Xenopus tropicalis: one gene and its partner. The protein of the gene in region 2 purifies or fractionates together with the protein of the main gene of each other region. This does not show direct contact. Links are inferred from orthologs where the notes say so. Each region holds a gene or a part of one and is shown on either strand. Other genes may lie near its edges.

Evidence for each region.
Region 1: the proteins of vim (region 2) and sync purify together in Homo sapiens (affinity purification with mass spectrometry; 3 studies listed by BioGRID and IntAct, counting the BioPlex papers as one, with this or other methods). This does not show direct contact. The link is inferred for Xenopus tropicalis from reciprocal best matches to the Homo sapiens genes VIM and SYNC.

The regions. Positions count from the first base shown.
Region 1 is NC_030678.2:90,286,376-90,290,198, reverse strand, and holds part of sync (syncoilin), read right to left. Parts: intron 3,309-3,823; coding exon 2,525-3,308; intron 1-2,524.
Region 2 is NC_030682.2:28,573,689-28,578,209, reverse strand, and holds the end of vim (vimentin), read left to right. Parts: intron 1-690; coding exon 691-911; intron 912-1,011; coding exon 1,012-1,055; intron 1,056-2,877; coding exon 2,878-2,960; intron 2,961-3,616; coding exon 3,617-3,658; 3' UTR 3,659-3,985; downstream 3,986-4,521. UniProt on the Homo sapiens protein: Vimentins are class-III intermediate filaments found in various non-epithelial cells, especially mesenchymal cells. Vimentin is attached to the nucleus, endoplasmic reticulum, and mitochondria, either laterally or terminally.

The DNA of each region.
Region 1 (3,823 bases), on a different chromosome or scaffold from region 2:
ACAACTATACTAACAAATACACACAGTACATATTTCTGGACTGACACTAGGATTGTGTGTTTTGTTAGCTACAATGGAAAGGCAACTGGCCAGCAGAGTAGACAGTATAAGAGTTGTTGGTGGTGGACACATTTTCTTTTAGAATGTGAGAGACTGTCTACAATTGCATTCAAGCAACTGAGTTGATAGCAGGGCAAAGAGGCCACAACTTGGTAAGTGCACAGACATTCCTTTCATTCCAAAAAAAAAAAAAAAAAACACAACAAAAACTAGTAGAGTAGTAACGGTGGAATCCAGACTCACCCAGGCACCATGGGGACTTTTACACCAAACAACTCATAAACAAATGATGTGGCTCAATTGAGAGTTATAAAGCTGCCTGCAAGTAATGTCCAACCAAGTGTTCACTGCATAATTTAATGAAGAACCATCATACTCCATTCTGGAACACCAATCAATAACAAGAATCAGCTTACCAAAGAAAGTAATTGAAGGGCATTATCCAACATGTATATCACAGCTGGGAAATGGAACCCATAAATAGCAAAGCACTAGAATAAGGACTTAGGTTTCCAAAGAAAGGATTTAAAGTTGAATTTATAAACTGTTATTTGCATCTTTCAGTATAATGGGGATAGCCAACAGTTGCAATATCATGTTTCTTAGCATTCTCTCTAACAATTATTATTATTATTAACATTTATTTATAAAGCGCCAACATATTCCGCAGCGCTGTACAATAAGTATCCCAAAGTCAGTTATGGTATGGAAACAGACTAAGATATAAGGCAAACAGCATAGACTAATCATTTATTGTTTGTGCAGAAAGCACAGGGTCAGTGACAGTAATCTGCCTAGAGGTCATGGCAGGCAAATCAGGTTTATTGCCAATACTGAGTTTAGATAACAAAGCATATGCAGCACATCTCTTAAATAGAGTACTTGAAAACAATCAGTAAACCTGAAGTGCATCTAAATGTACTACATTGCTGAGAACCTTGCAGACGTTTAGATGACATGTATGTTCTTGAAAATATAAAGGAGGTATAATGTCGAGAAAAGTAACTAAAATGTGCCCCATGTTACATTGTCCTTAGAGATTATGGTCAAATTAGAACATGAGGCTTTACAAACATTTAAAAAGTAAGAAATTGCCCTGCTATGCACTCAGTATTTCTCTTTGATATATAGATAGGGAACACAGCCATCAGAAACCTTCTTAGACCTCAAGCATTGGAGAAATTTAGCATCTAAGCTCCCTGTGATTTACTGAACAGTAGTAGTAGTAGGGTCATGGTCGAGGCTCTGTGTAGAGGCAGTTCTGTAGCTTATAAAGTAGAAGTATTGTGTCCTTAGCTGCCATTGCTAACTAGAAATAGTACCTTATACCAATATACACGTAACTCTTGTCCTATTGTGTTGCACCATAACTTCAAATCTGGAACTACTAGTTTTCACTAATTGCATGAAATTATCAATTCAATTGATATTTAGTTGAATGTTTCTACAGTGTAGTCTAGCAATACTGTAGGGATTTATAGGATTAACAATCTCTATAGCTTTAAACTGTATCTTCCTTATTTCCATTGTCATCACATGTATCTATCTTTCCTATTTACCTATTTCTATATTATTGGCCCATAGGTATGACTACTTCCTGCCACACTTTCATATAGTGTTTGGTTAGGAGTGAATCTTCCTCTTTGGCCTTAAGCAGTTCATCTGTGTGGATGTGATTTCAGAAAGCCTGGGATCCACACAACCCAGAAATGTTTGGCCCTAGAGACAACATCCTATCTAGAGAAGTTGGATAACAGGGACCCCGTAAACAATAATTTAGTAAGTGCAGGATATCTTTTGTTATAGCACTTTCTAGGAAAGTGAGTCAGATCAAAATTAGCTACCAAGAGCAGCTTCTTTGCTCCAACTAGGAAAGATAGCTAGGAGTGTTCTCCTTTACAGGCTCTGCTGCCTTAGTAAAGAGACCTCAGTAGTGACAAGGGTATCAGGCTTATGTTTGTTCTTCCTAATTCAGGTCTGCTGTATAGGATCCGGAACACTTAAGGTGGAAATCCAAAGGACTTTGTTACTATCCTTCCTACTCTCAACAGTTGTGTATCATTATTAAGAGAAAGATTGCTCTGCATTGAACCTGCCAACTCATTGCTCTACATCTGTATTGTAAGTATTTTCTGCATATCTCTGTGGATCAATTGTGTTGGACAATAAAACCAGTTCTGTTTGAGTTTGCTGCAAGAGCTCTCTGGTGTCCTTTATTTCTTATTTTTGCACAAAGCATAACTGAGTTGTAGTTGCAATACCTCCCCCTTGATCCTTCTACATAGCAAACACCCACCTGTGTGTTAGAGTCCAGTGTATCCCATGTTCTATAGCCATTCTAGCTGGTCCTTGTTTTGCAGCCAAAAAGGGGTTACACTGACTATAACCCTCCTGTTTCCCAAGTCAGGACCCACCTTCTAAAATCCCTCCCATCACCCTACCTGTGAATTTTGGGTATCCATACCCGATAAAGATGAACTTCCTCTTCCCTTTTCCTCTTCAGGAGAACAATCTGTTCCTGAAGGCTATTCCTCTGCACTCTCATCTTACTTGCCTCCCCTTGTAGTGGTCTGAGTTCATCACGCAGCTTCTGCAGCTCCTCCTGTGCTTCCCTAAGTGCTGCTACCCCTCTTTCGCTATGCTCCAGAAGCCGAAGTAATCTGGGTTCATACTGCTCCTCTAGAGAACTGTGTTGCTCCTCTGTGAGACTTTGTAGCTCTGCAGAGAGGCGCCGCCTATCCTGAAGTGCCTGTGATGTATGCCTGGTGGGCCCACTCCTTAGTTGCTGTTGAGCTCCTTCTTTTTGCTCCACAAAAGCAGTCCTGAGCTGGGTGAGCTCCTCTGCCAAACGGGAAGCAAGAGTCTCAAGGCCTCCACGCTGTACTTCTTTGTCTTTTAGCTCTTCACGCTGATTCTCCAGCTGAAATTGGCATGCCACATATTCTCTGGTCACATTAAAGAGCTTGCATCTTACAGTACGAACTTCCTCCTGCAGACCGTCCCTTTCTAGCTCTGTCCGAGCCTTCTGCCCATATGCCTGCAGTACCTCTTCATGTGCCCTCCTAACTGCTTCAAAAGAAGGTTCTCGAAGCAGTGTCAGTTCTCGAATAAGTTCATCGCGTTCTCGCTCCAGCTGTTCCACTGCAGCAATGCAGAACTGGAACCTTACCCCCACATCCTCGAAGGACATTGGTCCAGGATCATCTTGGACATCATCAGGATGAGGTAAAGAAGGCTCTGGGACAGGTCTGCAAAGAAAATAAATACAATGGATTGCTTAAAATCTGTTGCATGCTCCCTCCCCCACACGAGTGAAAGAAGATGTCTATTAGGAATAACCATTTAACCACACAAAACCCATCAACTCCTTTAGAAGTTGGCCCAAAGGATATGTCTCCCAGTTGCAATACTAAAGGCCCAAGGACTCAATTGCAACATATGGTCTGGGCCCATCATACTTACACCGCTCCAGAGGCCACCAACTCCATATCTCAACCCAGTGATTCACATGTATCACTCAATGATTCCTTTAGTTTCTGCGTGATCAAAAGATTACCTTTTGTGGTTCCTTTTTAAGGTAGACTGGGAACTGTAAAGTGTAACCTGATCATACTGTGTTGGGGAAAGGACTATAACATCAAAGTAGTAATGTTTATTAGTTTAACACACAAAGGTTTCTGTTGATGTTAAAATATTCCATTTTAAAGGTTCATAAGTTTGAAATAGCTGTGGTAGCTGTAAAAGAGATTTTGTTAAAATATTA
Region 2 (4,521 bases):
CTAGGGGTAGGCAGAAAAGTTACATGCCTAGGGTGCAACGTTGAGGGTATTTGGCACATTCTTTTGCCTACCCCTAGTTCCAAGCTCTTTTTATACCCCCCACCGCGAGCTACCTCCATCCCGTCTTCAGCGCCGCCAGCAACCCGGCTTAGCTCGGCACTGAATTCTGGTACAAAGGGTCCCTACCTATAGAGCTTTTTGTGCCAAAAGGATAAGGATAAGTGACTTTCTGATGCTAGAAGACTCAGGAGTCATCCACAGACCTGAACCCTGGGGTTAGCCCTCCCTTTTGGAGACATATGAAGCCATGTTTTATGCATGAAGTTGGCATCTCTCTCCAGTTTTGTTAAGAAATGCCTCCTTTACAAGCATTGTAACTGGATGCTTAAATGCCCTTATTACGCACATATTTTAATACTGTGCTCGAGCAGGGTTTCAAATGTCCTGTGAATGTTTTTTGTTCATTGAACATTTGCCCCCACCCTAAATCAATTGATTTAAATGTTTTCAGATTTTTGAATAGGAAGATAAAGAAGAGCAACTCCATAATGTACTTGTTAAGCCTTATTTTATATTTTGCTTTTCCAATATTTTTATTGTTGTTGTTGTTCGTGGTCTAAAACTCGCCTAGGAATCCGTTATCTGCCCATGCTCACTGACTTACTGGCATACTGTTGTATTCCCTTGCAGAATGAGTCTTACGAACGCCAAATGCGAGAAATGGAGGAGAATTTTGCCGGAGAAGCTGCTAATTATCAGGACACTATTCAGCGCCTGCAAGAGGAGATCCACAACATGAAGGAAGAGATGGCTCGGCACTTGCGAGAGTACCAGGATCTGCTCAATGTTAAGATGGCCCTTGATATAGAGATTGCTACTTACAGGAAACTCCTGGAGGGAGAAGAGAGCAGGTAGGTTTGAAAAGCTGTCACTAAGCATTAATGTTGGCATTTCTATACTGAATTAGGCTGAACGGTGTGTGAACTGTCATAAATATGTTCTGTTTTGCAGAATTACTGTTCCCGTACATTCCTTTTCTTCAATGAGCCTTAGAGGTAAATCTCTTTTAATTTTATTCTTTATAAAGGGAAGTTAGCAGGATGTTATATCTGTATACTAACTAGTTTGAGCATCAGTACTTGCATTGTTAAAAACAACTATGACATGAATGGGTCTGGGTATTTGATCAGCTTGTCGAATGACTGGCTCAGTCAGAACAGCCTTCCTGTCTTGGACTCGTTTCCCATTCAAGCAAATGTGAAATGACGGTCATAAGGCATATGCAAGTGATGTCAGATGGGGTAAAATGCAAAAAAACTAATGACGGTGCAGTAAAGAGCCTTTATATTTAATCGGCAGACTAATGCTCATTATAAACACCAAACTAAGTAAGAACTCAGAACTGCCTGTACTAAGTGGTACCCTTCCTTCTCCAGCATCCATTTAGGAGTCCTTGTTGCATACAAAGGATGGGGGTAAAGAGGAATATCCTGGGTGTTTTCATAAACCCCTATGTAATTTTCTTAAAGGGGTAGTACTGGTCTTTTTTTGTATTTTTGAATTATTTAGCATTTTGTTTAGCAGCTCTTTAATTTGGATCTTCAGTGGATATCTGGTTGCTAGGGTCCAATTTACCCTAGCAGCAAGGCAGTGGTGATAGGAGAGGGACTGAATAGAAAGATAAGTAACAAAGTAACAAAACCAATACATTTGTAGTCTCGCAGAGCAGTCATTTTTTGGCTGCTTGAGTTGGTGACCCCCATTTGAAAGTTGGGAAGAAGCAGAAGAGGAATGAAAATAATTCTAAAACTTTAAAAAATGAAGACTAATTAAAAAGTTTCTAAGAATAGGCCATTCTATAACATACTAAATGATAACCTAATGGTGACCTGCCCAATTAAGAGCAATGACACACAGGGAGAATAAGAAGTGCGCTCAAACAAAGTAGACAATTAAAAAGAAGTTGTACCAAGCTTAACTTTTTTAGTTCTATGGCACCAGTGCGTTTTGTTGCTGCTACAAAATGCCAGAAAATACATTGCCATAGTGTATATGGTAATTGCTTTGCTACATCACTTAGATCACATAATCACTGATTGGTGAGCGATTAAACAACTAGCAGAGGTGATTCTCAATATCCCCTGTGGCAAAGCATCTTCTGGTGTTTGGTAGCCACAACAAATGTGGGTGACACGCACCGCATGTTATTGCCCTTAGGCCAATGGCATTTTGTTGCATCTCCTAAGGATGACAAAGTGTCTAGGAATACCTTGGATTTGTTTCCATTACCAACGGATGCCAAGGTATATTTGGGTTCTTTGTCACTTGCCATCAGACTAAGGGCAATTTCCATGCAATTACACAGGATGTCATTAGCAGCGGTATTGAAACCTCAATTTCACATCCCATAAATTGTCCTTGCATTTTACTCCATTTATTGTTGTCCCACCAATATATATCAATATATTGTCTGTCCAACCAATATAGTTTTTTTTTGGTGAAGGAAGGCTGACAGCTTTTTTAGATGTGCCAGTATAAGGAAAGTGATTAATATATGTAGCTTTTGAGATAAGTCCGATGGGCAACCAAATGAGCTCATGTCCTGACATGGGGGCCTTCGCCAATTCTATTATACCAATATAATATAATACATATATAATTTACAGACATTTAGGCTGATAACACACGGAAAGATTAGACACCTACAGTTACTAATATCCCTTAAATGCTTTCCGACTGGCAATTTACTTCACTAAGGGATGAGGTATAGCACTAAGGGATGAGGTATAGCACTAAGGGACTACATTCCATAGTGCAGGTGTATTGTATATTGTGTATTTGTATTGTTTGCAGAATGATAGTTGCTTTGTCTTGCAGAAACCAACCTTGATTCGCACCCAGTGGAAAGCCATTCCAAACGCACTCTGCTCATCAAGACTGTGGAGACAAGAGATGGACAGGTTTGTCTTCACCTTTTGTGATACAAATTCTGCATGTGTGTGTCTGTGTTCCAGTATAGCTGAATAAGATGGGTAAGAGAAAGTGAATCAACAAGAGACTTGTTTGATAAATACAAAATAATGGCATTCAGAAAAGATGAAGTTTTATTTACATAGTATTTAGTTTACAAAACAATTTGCAATAACATAACGCAGATAACTTGCCAATATAAAATCCTGGCAGAAGTGTAAAGAGTCTTAGCAACACCTTCAGCAATACAGTCAACGCTTTATATCATTGGCAGCCCTCCAGCCTTCTGCACTTCCAGGCTACTGCCACCTAAAAGCTGCCAATGGGCCGAGTAGGCAGCTTATCGGCCCGTGCACTGGCTCCTCAGATGGGTCTACCCAACCGATATCTGGCCGAAAATCATCCAGATATTTATCAGCAGGTTTTAAAGATTCAGTCAGGACTCATTGATGCGGCTCTCTCGCCGGCCTTATCCTGTCAATGTGATCCAATATTTCCCACCTCAAGCTTCAATGTGAATTTTAATTGGCCTGAAACTAAAAGAGTGTGACTGTTATGACTGTGTTTTCATGTACTGATGCCTTGGTTGTTAGCCAAGAGGGTTATTCATTGGTGTGTACTAACAGTGGTCGGTTTCTTTTGGCAGGTTATTAATGAAAGCTCTCAGCACCATGATGACCTGGAATGAAACTGAAATATCCAAAGCAAAGCGGAGAACCTTTACCAGCACCGTAATACTGTTACCTGTTTTAAAGTTTGAAGAAAACCAGCTTTCAAGTGCCTTTTGCAGTAAATTGGAGAGCACAAGATAGGGATAAGCTAACTGCTAATTAGGAGTTTGGTTTGAGTGACAGCCCTTGAGAAGGTCACACAGCGAGCTTCCTTCTGTCTAGTTTACAGACAATGTAATAGCAAAGATCTTGTGCCGCAATACTGTTTTTACATTCCCAAGAAAAAAGCTTTTTTTATTTCCAGGCAATGTGCAGCCAGTGCTTCAATAAATCTTTAGAAATAACAGCCTGTCCATGTGTTATTTGTTTAACCCTCACTAGCCAAGGTTAAATTGCATACTGGTAGAATTTGGGAAAAAAAGGCCTTAACACTAATGGCAAATGAGTCTGCTTTTCCACCTGCATAAAAACACAGTAAACCCCCCCCTCAAGAATCAAAAGGTAGTGTAACAACCCCCAGCATCAAGTGGCACAGTGTATGCCCCAGCTTTACGTGGCACAGTGTAACATCCCCCAGCACTAAGTGGCACAGTGTAACATCCCCCAGCTCCACATGGCACAGTGTAACATCCCCCAGCTCCACATGGCACAGTGTAACATCCCCCAGCACTAAGTGGCACAGTGTAACATCCCCCAGCTCCACATGGCACAGTGTAACATCCCCCAGCTCCATGTGGCACAGTGTATGCCCCAGCTCCACGTGGCACAGTGTAACATCCCCCAGCTCCACATGGCACAGTGTAACATCCCCCAGCACTAAGTGGCACAGTGTAACATCCCCCAGCTCCTCATGGCACAGTGTAACATCCCCCAGCTCCAT